Linked DNA regions of Rattus norvegicus. The protein of the gene in region 1 binds, or shares a complex with, the protein of each later gene. Links are inferred from orthologs where the notes say so. Each region holds a gene or a part of one and is shown in the gene's direction. Other genes may lie near its edges. The genes, in order: Map3k5, Arhgef6 and Dcp1a.

Evidence for each region.
Region 2: Map3k5 (region 1) and Arhgef6 share a complex: the UniProt entries of both Homo sapiens proteins name them as parts of the cytoplasmic complex. The link is inferred for Rattus norvegicus from reciprocal best matches to the Homo sapiens genes MAP3K5 and ARHGEF6.
Region 3: Map3k5 (region 1) and Dcp1a share a complex: the UniProt entries of both Homo sapiens proteins name them as parts of the cytoplasmic complex. The link is inferred for Rattus norvegicus from reciprocal best matches to the Homo sapiens genes MAP3K5 and DCP1A.

The regions. Positions count from the first base shown.
Region 1 is NC_086019.1:16,582,339-16,585,990, forward strand, and holds part of Map3k5 (mitogen-activated protein kinase kinase kinase 5), read left to right. Parts: intron 1-1,007; coding exon 1,008-1,176; intron 1,177-2,641; coding exon 2,642-2,748; intron 2,749-3,652. UniProt on the Homo sapiens protein: Serine/threonine kinase which acts as an essential component of the MAP kinase signal transduction pathway. Plays an important role in the cascades of cellular responses evoked by changes in the environment.
Region 2 is NC_086039.1:140,260,046-140,263,697, reverse strand, and holds part of Arhgef6 (rho guanine nucleotide exchange factor 6), read left to right. Parts: intron 1-730; exon of another isoform or gene 731-786; intron 787-1,191; coding exon 1,192-1,276; intron 1,277-3,393; coding exon 3,394-3,518; intron 3,519-3,652. UniProt on the Homo sapiens protein: Acts as a RAC1 guanine nucleotide exchange factor (GEF).
Region 3 is NC_086034.1:5,662,321-5,666,072, forward strand, and holds the start of Dcp1a (mRNA-decapping enzyme 1A), read left to right. Parts: upstream 1-1,116; 5' UTR 1,117-1,141; coding exon 1,142-1,276; intron 1,277-3,348; coding exon 3,349-3,389; intron 3,390-3,752. UniProt on the Homo sapiens protein: Necessary for the degradation of mRNAs, both in normal mRNA turnover and in nonsense-mediated mRNA decay. Removes the 7-methyl guanine cap structure from mRNA molecules, yielding a 5'-phosphorylated mRNA fragment and 7m-GDP.

The DNA.
Region 1 (3,652 bases):
TGTAAATAAGAAATACCCAATTTAATAAAAATGGAAGGAAAAAACGGCCCCAATCTATTAATTCTTTTATAATAATGACAAAGACCTCTCTCTCTATCTATTGATCTATCTGTATCATATATATATATTTATATTTCTTTTACTTATTTTGAAGTAAGTTTATATATAATCTTATTGTTTATAAATATATATGTTTATAAAGAAATAAATATATATGTATATATATGTACACACACATACACACACGATCAGTTATGGCTACATCAGAATAAATGTCAGGGGACTTTTAGTGTAAGGGCCAAAGTTTTGCAAAATTTGCTAAGAACATAGCTTAGTTAAGAATAATCCCTGGGCCAGCGAAATGGCTCGGTGGCAAGTGCGTGCTGCCAATCCTGACACCTTAAGTCCAGGCCCCGAAATTCTCATGGCAGAAGGAGAAGGGCGATCCCTATAGAGTTGGCCTCCGACCGCCGTACCCATGACTGGGCACACACACGGAAGCACACATACATGCTCTAAGTCAGAAATGAAAAGTCATTTTCTTGATTCAGAGCTCTCTGGCTGGCCTGGAGCTCTCTCTGTGTAGTCGCAAACTCTGTGGAGGTGGCCTTCCAATACTCAGAGATTTCAACTGCCTCTGCCTCCTAAGCACTAGGGTTGCGAGCAGGTGCCACCACGGCCAGCAAACGTGGTGATTAAACGAAGAGTCATCAGTTGTTTATGTTAGCGGAGAGTCAGATCATGGGCCTGTCTAAATTATTTGAGATAATTTGCCCTCGAAGCAGTACAATGAAAAAATAGAATTTGGATATTCTTTTGAAATACGGCAGAATCCTAAAAGAAATACACACACTCCCAGATTTCTTACTAATGCCAGATACATGAGGTGTTCCTTCAGTGTGGCTTAGTGGCTGAAAACTGCTCGTGGACACATGCCTTGCGTGTCTGTGTTTCAGTGAATTGTTTTCTAGAGCTAACTCTCTGAAACGTGTGTTTTTTTTCGCCAGCCAGTACTTCCGGGAATCTATACTCAACGACATCAGGAAAGCTCGGAATCTGTACACTGGTAAAGAGTTGGCGGCTGAGCTGGCGAGGATCCGGCAGCGGGTAGACAATATTGAAGTTCTGACGGCAGACATTGTTATCAACCTGTTGCTTTCCTACAGAGATATCCAGGTGAGAGGATACGAGCTGTCTCTCAGATGTCATGCCAGAGGAAGGAAGGCCTGGGGTGTTAGAGTTCAGCTACGTAATAAGTAATCCAGGTTGCTACCTTTCCTCTGTGACTTCATGGCGAGTGGAAGAGACTCGCAGATGCTAACTGTCGGGCTTATGACACGCTCATATTTACCCTTCCTCAAAAGCTGCTCACCTGATCAGCTCTTGGAGGGCTGATCTCCTCGGTGAGCCTCGGGCACACCTGTCAGTCAGCCAATGAGAGCTTTGTTTTGGCAAACAGCAGAGGCTCGTAGATCTCTCTGGATATAGCTTTTACTTCCTGAAACTATGCTACTGAATCTGATGGTGCCAAGAGCAAGAAATATGCAACCAAGTCCTCGTAAAGAAGTGGCGGACCCACGGACGTATGGCATCATTTCTTCTGCTGGGTCGTAGCCTTTTTTTAAGATCCAGCAAGTAGACTAAAACTCTCTCAGTGAGGGGTGTGACGTTAGAGTTGTATCATAAAATCCAGGTAACTCCTGGCTTCTGGTTCCTGTACCAGCCTCTTGGTCCTGTGTAAAACTTCACCCATCAGAGAGACTCAGTACATGGAGAACCATGGTAGCTAGCAGCCTGCGGCTAGAGGAAACTCACTTAACGTGACCTGCAGTCATCTTGCTTCACTTACCACAGTATTTCAGTCAGTTGCCTTATGACCTTCAAACTTTTAATGTCCTTGGTGGAATCATTTTATGGTTCTTGATGGAAGCCTGCAGAACAGGAGCTACGTGAAAAGAGCCAGTCACATGACTGTGGCTTATTTGTTTTGTTTCTTTGGATTTTATCACATCCCATAACTTTATTTTTTCATACCTTAATCCGTGTAATAGGAATTTAGGAGAAACACGGCTGTTGCTTCTAGGGTTTTCAAAGGTCTCAACAGATTGGTTTTTTTCCTAACACAATACTTTTACTGATTATTTGGGAATTTCACATCATATACCACAATCACTCACTTCCTAATCCTCCCAGGTCCATACCTCCTGCCTCTGGATCTCCCCTCCTCCCCCCATAAAAGAAGAAAAAGAAAAAACAGATACTAAGTCCAACTTGTGTATACTCGCCAGAGCATGGTCAAACTCCCAGTGGCCAACCCCTTAAAGAAAACTGAGTCCTTCCCCACCCCCGCCCCTACCGGGAGCCACTCAGCATCCTTATCAGAACTCTTAAGAGCTCTCTTAAATGGCTTCCTGTGTAGACTGTTTGCTGCGTGCGCATGTGCATGCGCGTGTTGTGTGTGTGTGTGTGTGTGTGTGTGTGTGTGTATGTGTGTGTCGATGGCGGGTTGCTGCAGACGCCTTCTATGCCCCTCAACAATTCTAACTTTGCCGTTAGTCCCTTTCTCAGCATTAGATGCCTGGCTGTCTTGTCGGAGATTTCTCCTCAGGGTTTAATTCTGTTCTGTTCATTTTGTTGAAAGGACTATGACTCCATAGTGAAGCTGGTAGAGACCTTAGAAAAACTACCGACCTTCGATCTGGCCTCGCACCACCACGTGAAGTTTCATTATGCCTTTGCACTGAACAGGTAAGATATTCCCTCCTGGGATGGCTCCGACATGACAGTTCAGCTCTTACCAATGTCCCTGTGGCTTCCCAGCAGCTCCCATATCTACCACAGCCCATGCGAAGTAGTGCAAGCCTTCTGATCTCTCTCTGGTTTTGTTTGTTTGTGGACGGGGTCTCACTGTATATCTCAGGCTGGCTTGAGTTTTTAATCCTCCTACGTCTGTCTTTTGATGGCTGTTGTTTTTACCAGCCTGTGTGTGTGTGTGTGTGTGTGTGTCTGTGTGTATCTGTGTGTGCCCGCATGCGAGAGTCCTTTGTCTCTCTGTTAGTAAAAGCCTGTCATGGTATTTGTAGTTACAATTTTTTTATAATTCTTTTTTTTTCCTGTGACAGAGCTTGTGTTTGTTATTTATATCTTATAACATTCAATATTTTATCAATATTATACTACTTTTAAGCAAATATAGTTTTCCTTGGGTGTTTGTTAAAAATGTGTTCCAAACTCTTTAAGGGTACTCAGATCCAAGGATGTTCAAGTCCTTATAGATTGGTACAGGATTTCGTATAACAACCAAACATTCTTTATATATTTAAGCATTCTCTATATTTATATATATTTGTATCTCTAGATAACTATGATATCTAACATACTATCATGCTGTGTGGATGGTTGTTAGTTTGTTCTGTTCAGGGGAAAAATCTGTGCAGGTTCAGTATAGACATTTCCCTAATTATTCTCAATGCGTATTTGATTGAGCCCTGGGCTGAGAATTCACAACCTCACTATCATCTGGCCCTTCACATACTGACTCATTGAAGTATGAGGATAGTTTTGAGGAAGTGAATGTTTTTCTCATCCAGAGACAGTTACCCCCAGGACTGCTGTGAGCAGGATTAGTTATGACCGGAACTCTGCCGGTGAC
Region 2 (3,652 bases), on another chromosome or scaffold:
GTGAAATGGCTCGGTGATTAGAGGTACTTGCAGCCAAGTCCTTGACAACCAGAGTTAATGTCCAGGGATGCATGTGGAATGGTAGGGGTGAACTGATTCTTTCTCAAATTTGTCCTCCCATGCGCTCTCTCTCTCTCTCTCTCTCTCTCTCTCTCTCTCTCTCTCTCTCTCACACACACACACACACACACACACACACACACACACACACACACGCACACACACACACACACAGGAGAGAGATAGAGAGAGACAGAGACTGATAGTGATGACAGAGAAAGGTAGAGAATATATCAGTAGGTAATTGGCACTTTCTGTAGGAACAGTTCCCTATCAGATTGCAAAAAAAAAAAAAAAAAAAGGTCATGAGGATGTTATTTTTACTCAGGTCTCACTCTAGCCTAGGCTGACCTGGAACCCACTCTGTAGGCCAGGCTATCCTACATTTTGGCAATCCTCCTGCCTCAGCCTCCCAATTGCAAAGACTACAGATGTGACCCACCATACCTGGCCAAAGGCCTGGCAGCATATCTAGGAAGGTCACCCAAAGCCAGGAAGAACTCACAAGCTCAGGCAGATGGAGAGTCAGATTCTTGCAGTTCACAGATGAGAAGGGCAAGATCAATCAGCAGAAAACAGGAAGTGAGGCTTCGAGCAAAAGGCAGGTTGGGACAGCAGTTCTGCAATGTGGCATTGGGATCCTAAGCAGTTGGGCAGCAGCAGGGAGGAAGGGGAGGAGAGACAGGCACTTGTGACAGTGCCACCGGCAAGGAGAATTAATAAGAGGTAAAGCAGAAAGCCTCTGTATTTGTAGGCTTCTGAGGCCCTTGGGGAGGTGTTGGGCAGTAACAGGAACCCCTGCACACAGGCTTTGTGTAACTGGCTGAAGAGTCAGGAGTTCAGGTCAGGAGACTGGGTCTGAGCATGCGCTTTAAATTTCCTGGTGGGTGCTACCTTCTCAGCTTGCCTTTCATATCCCAGTGCTGTTTTGTTCTGAGTCACTGATGGCTGCCACATGCCATTAGGCAGCTCAGCTGCTGCTCTAGTTTTTCCAGAAGGTATGCAGAGGTTTGCATCTTGTCTTGTACATTTTCCCCCTCTTGAATACTAAAGCAAGGGGCCTTTTCACAGTTTCATTTGTTGAGTTGATTACTTACAGTGTCTTACAGTTTCACATTTCCTTTCTAATAGGTGTTTGAGCCTGATGACCTCTATTCTGGGGCCAATTTCTCCAAGGTTCTGAATACCCTTCTAGCTGTCAACAAAGCGACAGAAGGTAAGGCATGCTGGTGATTTATGATCCATATTTCTAGAAGCTAGCTATGGCCACAGCTGTTCAAATGATGCAAATTTCTTCCCTCCCCCAAAATAAATTTATAAAAAATATAAAATACTTAATTTGTATAACTCAAATGTACCCATCACAGAATAACAAGGAAAAATGCACACATATCAAATTCTAATAATCTTAACATAACAATAAAAACCAAAAGTGATTTCATGCAAAGCTTTGGGATTGCCAATTGAGTATAACAAGACAGACAAAAAAGGGAAAGACCAGTTCCTCCTTAAAAAATAAGGTTTACAAAAAACAGCCATCACTTCCCTTTCTCCACCAGAGATATTTTTCTTGTAGTTTTCCATAGGTCGCAAAGCAGAGCTTTTCAGTAGCTTTGCTCTTGGAATGAAACCTCAGATTCCCCAATGAATATAGAGAGTAGCTTATGTAAACATTTCATATCCACTGTATTACAGATTATTAAGTATAATCCGAGTAAAGAGGAAACTGATAAAACTGTACTAGAAAGCTGTTTATTCTGTGACATCATGTCTTAAATATATCAGTCGTAGTCATCGTGAGTTCAAATGCTTTGAGCACTTTCCATCGGTCTTGGCTGTCTCAGTAGCTCCAAGTGGTCTCATTGAATCAGTCAAACACCAATGGTGGATACAGGGACGGGAAAGTCCACATTAGAGATAAGGAATGCCTGGCCCACAGTTACCCAACTAGAAACTGGATGGCTAAGCTAGGATTCAAACCCACATAAAACTGTCCAGAGTTTTTATGATAAACATGAATCCTGCTGCTTGATTGGTTTAAGAGCCACACGACTGTGCTCAGTACTGCCAGGTGCCAAGGAGGAAGTAGAAGATCTGGCCCTGCCCTTGAAAAAATTACCATCTATTTATGGAGACTCAACTTACCCACGTGAACCAATTAGAGAGCGGAGCAGACAATGTAATCAAGTGCCGAGTAGGACGGAGAATCTAGGAACCCATCAAGTAATTATAGTTTTACCCTAAAGAGCTGTAGATAATGGCAAGATGTGGAAAAATACTTCTCTGAAGTTGTTCTTTTGCTATTTGGAAAAAAAATGGTTTTTGAGCTATTGCAAGGCGTATGGCAGAGAGTACAGCTAATTCAAGTAGCTATATTTAACGCACATGACAAGTATCCAGTTCTGGGAAGGGAGGATGGTATAATTCTAACATTATGCCACACAAATTATACGTTTCTTTGCCAAACTCTTCTAGCAAGTTTTACAGTCTCTTCGCTCACCACAGATATTTATAAAAATACAAGGAGGTGAAAGTAAAAACCCACGGCCTCAAGGAGATTACTCGATGCTGAGCCTGTCGCCTAGGGAATGTTTGGGCTTTAGACTTTTGCAGTTTATATCTTTTAAAAATAAGTGGAAAAGAAAGAAGCCTCATTTGAATTTGTCAAGAAGCCAGCCTCTCCCTTCAGTACACTCTCAGCGTGCTGAGAACACCCAGCTCAGCCCAGGCCCGATCAAATTTCACAAAGAATCAAGCAAGAGAAAGCTCCAGTGTTTGATTTTACAAAATGATTCTAACACCAAGATTGCATCTGTCTCAAACACACCCTCTCCCTCATTCTGATTCTCCACCCCACCCCAAAACACCAGGGAGACTTTATGTTATGTGGGCCACACATATTTTGACATGTAAGCGAAGAACCCGTAAGTTATGAGCCAACAAACAAAGAGAGAAATTTGAAATATTTCCAAAGTATTAAGAGCCACAAACAGCTGTTTGGTACCCGATATAGGTCTGCCTTGGGTAACACGGCATACATACTGTGGCAACTGGTTCCGTAAGGGAAAGTTGTAGGGAAATGGGTTAGGAGAAAATGTGGTTCTGCCGCTGTTTTTCATTATACTGGACAGCAGTGGCCAGTAAGGTTAAGAAGAAAAAAGTTGGCCATTGAAAAGAAAAAAGGGAGGGGGAAGCCTAAAAACACAGCCTGTTCAGAGTGATAGTATCCCAGAAGCCACTAGGATGGCTTCGGCAATGTCCTGGGCTAGAGTGTACTGTAGGTGGTTTCCTGCTGCAAGTTTTATTTATTTATTTGTTTTCCTCTCTTCACAGATCAGCTATCAGAAAGACCATGTGGACGGTCCTCTTCTCTTAGTGCTACGACCAGCTCTCAGACAAACCCACAGGCAGCCGTTCCCAGCACAACTCCAGAGCAGCAAAGCGAGGAAAAGGCAGCGGTAAGTAGCATCTGTCCCCATTCCCTACTCCACTTTGTTTTAAAAATCTCTCAAGTGGGATGAACATCTCCCATGTATTTCCATGTGCACTGAGGTAGATATTCTGTTTGTTTGGGGTTTCACCAGAGTATGAG
Region 3 (3,752 bases), on another chromosome or scaffold:
GTTATTTGCTTGCTTTTCGTTTCTCCTGGTGCCAAAAAGAGTTGGAAGCTTGGAACTGACAACCACTCTATAAGATCAATGAATGTGTACGTGAGCAAAGGGCGAACAAACCATAAGCTGTTCCGACTTCTTGCCTCACACGTGTTTCCGAACGGAAAGTCTGCCCTTCCATTAGCAAATGATCTTGGGATGTAAAACCACAAGCAACACAAATATATGGTGGTACTTTGATGGAAATGTAAAGTTTATCCTTTCAAAAACGTTCATTTGTGCCGAGATGTCCTCAATAAAGAAAAACGATGGTTTTTAAAGCAGCTCAATGAAAATAGGCTGAGCACGTTGTTTTACTTTGTAGTACCTGACCCCTTAGGATGCCCAATAATGTTGGCTTTTTAAGAGATCTACTTATTATTTAAGTAATAGGTCTTTCTATATTGCTTTTTTTTTCTTTTTTTCGGAGCTGGGGACCGAACCCAGGGCCTTGTGCTCGCTAGGCAAGCGCTCTACCGCTGAGCTAAATCCCCAACCCCGTAATAGGTCTTTCTAGAACAACAGAAATATTTATTTAGGACCCAGATGAAGGAAAAGACAAGCCAAAGAGGGGAAGCCGAGTACAGTGTAGTTCCAGGCAGGCTAGTTTGGCTGCTTTGAAACATTTCTTTCAAAAATTACCAAACAGTTAAGAGTGAAAGTGCAGCTCGGAAGTAAAGTACAGCTCCCTTTCCTCACTTGGTCTGAGTTTTCTCAATGGTCCATGAAAACCTCACTTCCACAGCAGCAAGCATTTCGATTCAGGGTATGTGCTGGGCTGCGGTCTCACTGGCAGGAGTCTGGAGCACTCAAGGAACAAGTTCAGATCCCGCCAGGTGAGAGAGGAGGACTCCGGAATGTCGGCTCGCCGAAGCTCCACCGCGCAGGCGCGGACGCCTGTACCTTCCGGCAGCCGCAGACCTAAAAAGATCGGAACCAGGCTCCCAGGGCATAGGAGCGGCGGATCAGATTAACTGAAGTACCACCCTCGGCAAGGCAGGTCGGATAGGCGGAAGTGGACGGCTGACTGAGCTGGGGGAACTTTGCCTGGATGGCACTTTCCTGTTCTCCAGTCCGCCCCCGCCCGAGGGGCTCGGCCTGGAGATCCAAGATGGAGTTGTTGAGTCGAGCTGAGCAAGAGATGAGTCTGGCGGCCTTGAAACAACACGACCCCTACATCACCAGCATCGCAGACCTCACGGGCCAGGTCGCCTTGTACACTTTCTGCCCCAAAGCCAACCAGTGGGTGAGTGAGGCCCAGCCGTGGAGAACGCCAGCCTGGCCGCTGCCGCCTCTTAAAGGGACCGCGCAGACAGCTTAGGATTGGGGGTGGGGTGTGGAGCAGAGTAGGACCGCAAAGGCGAGGCCCGAACCTCTCCCAAAGGTCCTTCCAGAGCCGAAGAGATGACGGGGGAAAGGGGAGGGACACGCGGAATTGGAGGAATGAAGGGTAGGAGTACACCAGAGACATAACAGGGAAATCAGATGGAGGACAGGAATGAGGCAGGATCAGTCTTTTTGGGGTCGGTTCTGGAGACTTGAGGTTGCATTGGCAGGATATGAGACAAGTTAATTTTTTTTTCTAACAAGTGATTGAAAACCTGTGTTTGAGACTTTGAAAACTATTAGATAAATCACGTGTTCTTGATTGCAAAATCCACTCCTCTTTCCCTGCCGACCTAAATGTGATGATTTGGATTTGAAGCTTAAAAATCAGTCTCAGGAGTTAGTCCAGCTTTAGCAGAACTGGTATCACCGGAGTTTAAAGAAAGATTTCAAGGCTACTTCAGTAAGAATTGGATTCCTTGGAGACGTTTTTACAAGAAAAAAAAAAAAAAAAGAGACCGGTGATAGGACGTTTGATCGCTCACTTCTTAGTTCTTTTTGGATTTTGTGAGTGGCATGGAGTTCCAGAAATTACATTCACTGACTTTAGTTAACCTCAACTTGAAGCACCTATTTACATGATGTCCTATTTCCTCCTGATGCTAGGCAGACACTGTACTGTTCCTCTACCACTGGGCTATATACCCAACCCAAGTTACAGTTTCTTAATCACATTTTCAGGCGTTTATTTTAAAAACCTACCACATTTGTCTAAGGCAGAGAATGGTTTCTATCCACGAGTCTTAACAAAGTTCTGAAAATATTAAATTGTGTTTGGTCACCACAAAATGTGTAACTCGTGAAAATAGTCCTAAATTCTCCAGAAATGAAACAGTATCTTAGAAGAAAACGTCCCGAGGGTTAGGGATTTAGCTCAGTGCTACACAGCTGTGCATCATGAGGCCCAGGCTCTGAGTTCAACCTGGTATCCCTTTTGAAGAAAGTTTCCATTCTTTTTCTATAAACCTCAATAGACTGCTCAAGTTTGGTTTGGTTTGGTTTTTGGTTTTTTTTTCCAAGTTTTTGGTTTTTTAAGTTGCAGTAGACAATACCTTGACTGGAGTATTAAGATACCTAGTTGAAAGGTTTTAGTGTTTGCAGAGAGAAGCTGGGGCAGAGAAATGGCTCAGTAGTAGCTAAGAGCATTTGGTGCTCTTCCCAAGGACCTGCCTCAATTTCCAGCATCCCCATGATGGTTCAGACCCATCTGTAACTCCAGTTCCAAGACGTCCAGTGCCCTCTCTAAGCTCCACGTACACACATACATGTGTTACAAAGAAATACGTATGCTGACAAAAGAGCCCTACATCTTTTCTAATTGAAAAAAAAATTTAATACATAAAATAAGTAAAGCTAAATCGCTTTTTTTTTCCCTTTAAATGTTCCTCACTGGCAAAAATAGACATGTGCTACAGATGTACACATATTGTTGGGTTGGACATACATAAACACAGGGGTGAACAGATACATAATTTGTTTAGATTTCTTTTAAAAAGTGAATTGCTTTACCTGTTCAAACGTGACTAATTTGGAGGCTAAAGAGACAGCTCAGTGGATGAAGTGCTTGCCTCCCCAGCTTGAGAACCTGAAGTATTCACACAGAAAGCTGGACGTAGTAGCTTGCACTTACGTGTCCTCTGGGGACATGGAGGCGCTTATGACACAACACTGGAGCTCACTGACCAGGAAGTGCAGCTAAATTGCCCATCTTCTGGCCAGTGAGACCCCCTGACTCAAAAGAAGGAATGACGCCTGAGAGTGACCGATGGCCTCTCCAGTTGTACACAAATGCCAGCGTGCATTCCCTTGAGCACATACACGATCGATTTCACAGTAAATAAGACAAGTTGGCCTGAACGTGTAGGTGCTTCACCAAGATCATTTGACCTTGGATTATTCCTGGAAAACTGACAGAGTCGTTGTCTGTTACAGGAGAAGACTGATATAGAAGGGACATTATTTGTATACCGAAGGTAAGTGGCTTAAGGATGTTTCTACTTCACTTGAATGGTGGTGATCGCTGTGGTGGAGCGTGGTCCGTTTCTATCGTGTATGTAGCTTTGGAGCCTTCCTGTTTATCTTCTTCCAGTTTTCCCCCACCCAAGCACTACAGTCCTACTACAGCTGCTGCTCTTCTTCCCATGTTAAAAAGAATGCATACGTACGAATGTCTGCGAATATAGTATAGTACAGTAGCTATAAAGTGATTGAGATAGCACTCTTGCCGGTCTGTAGTTTCTGATGAGAATTTGCCTTCTGTGGCTGGTTCTGCCCCTTTCCTGCCTCTTCCCAAAGTTCTAGGTCATTCCTAATTCATATACATTTTACTTTAAACT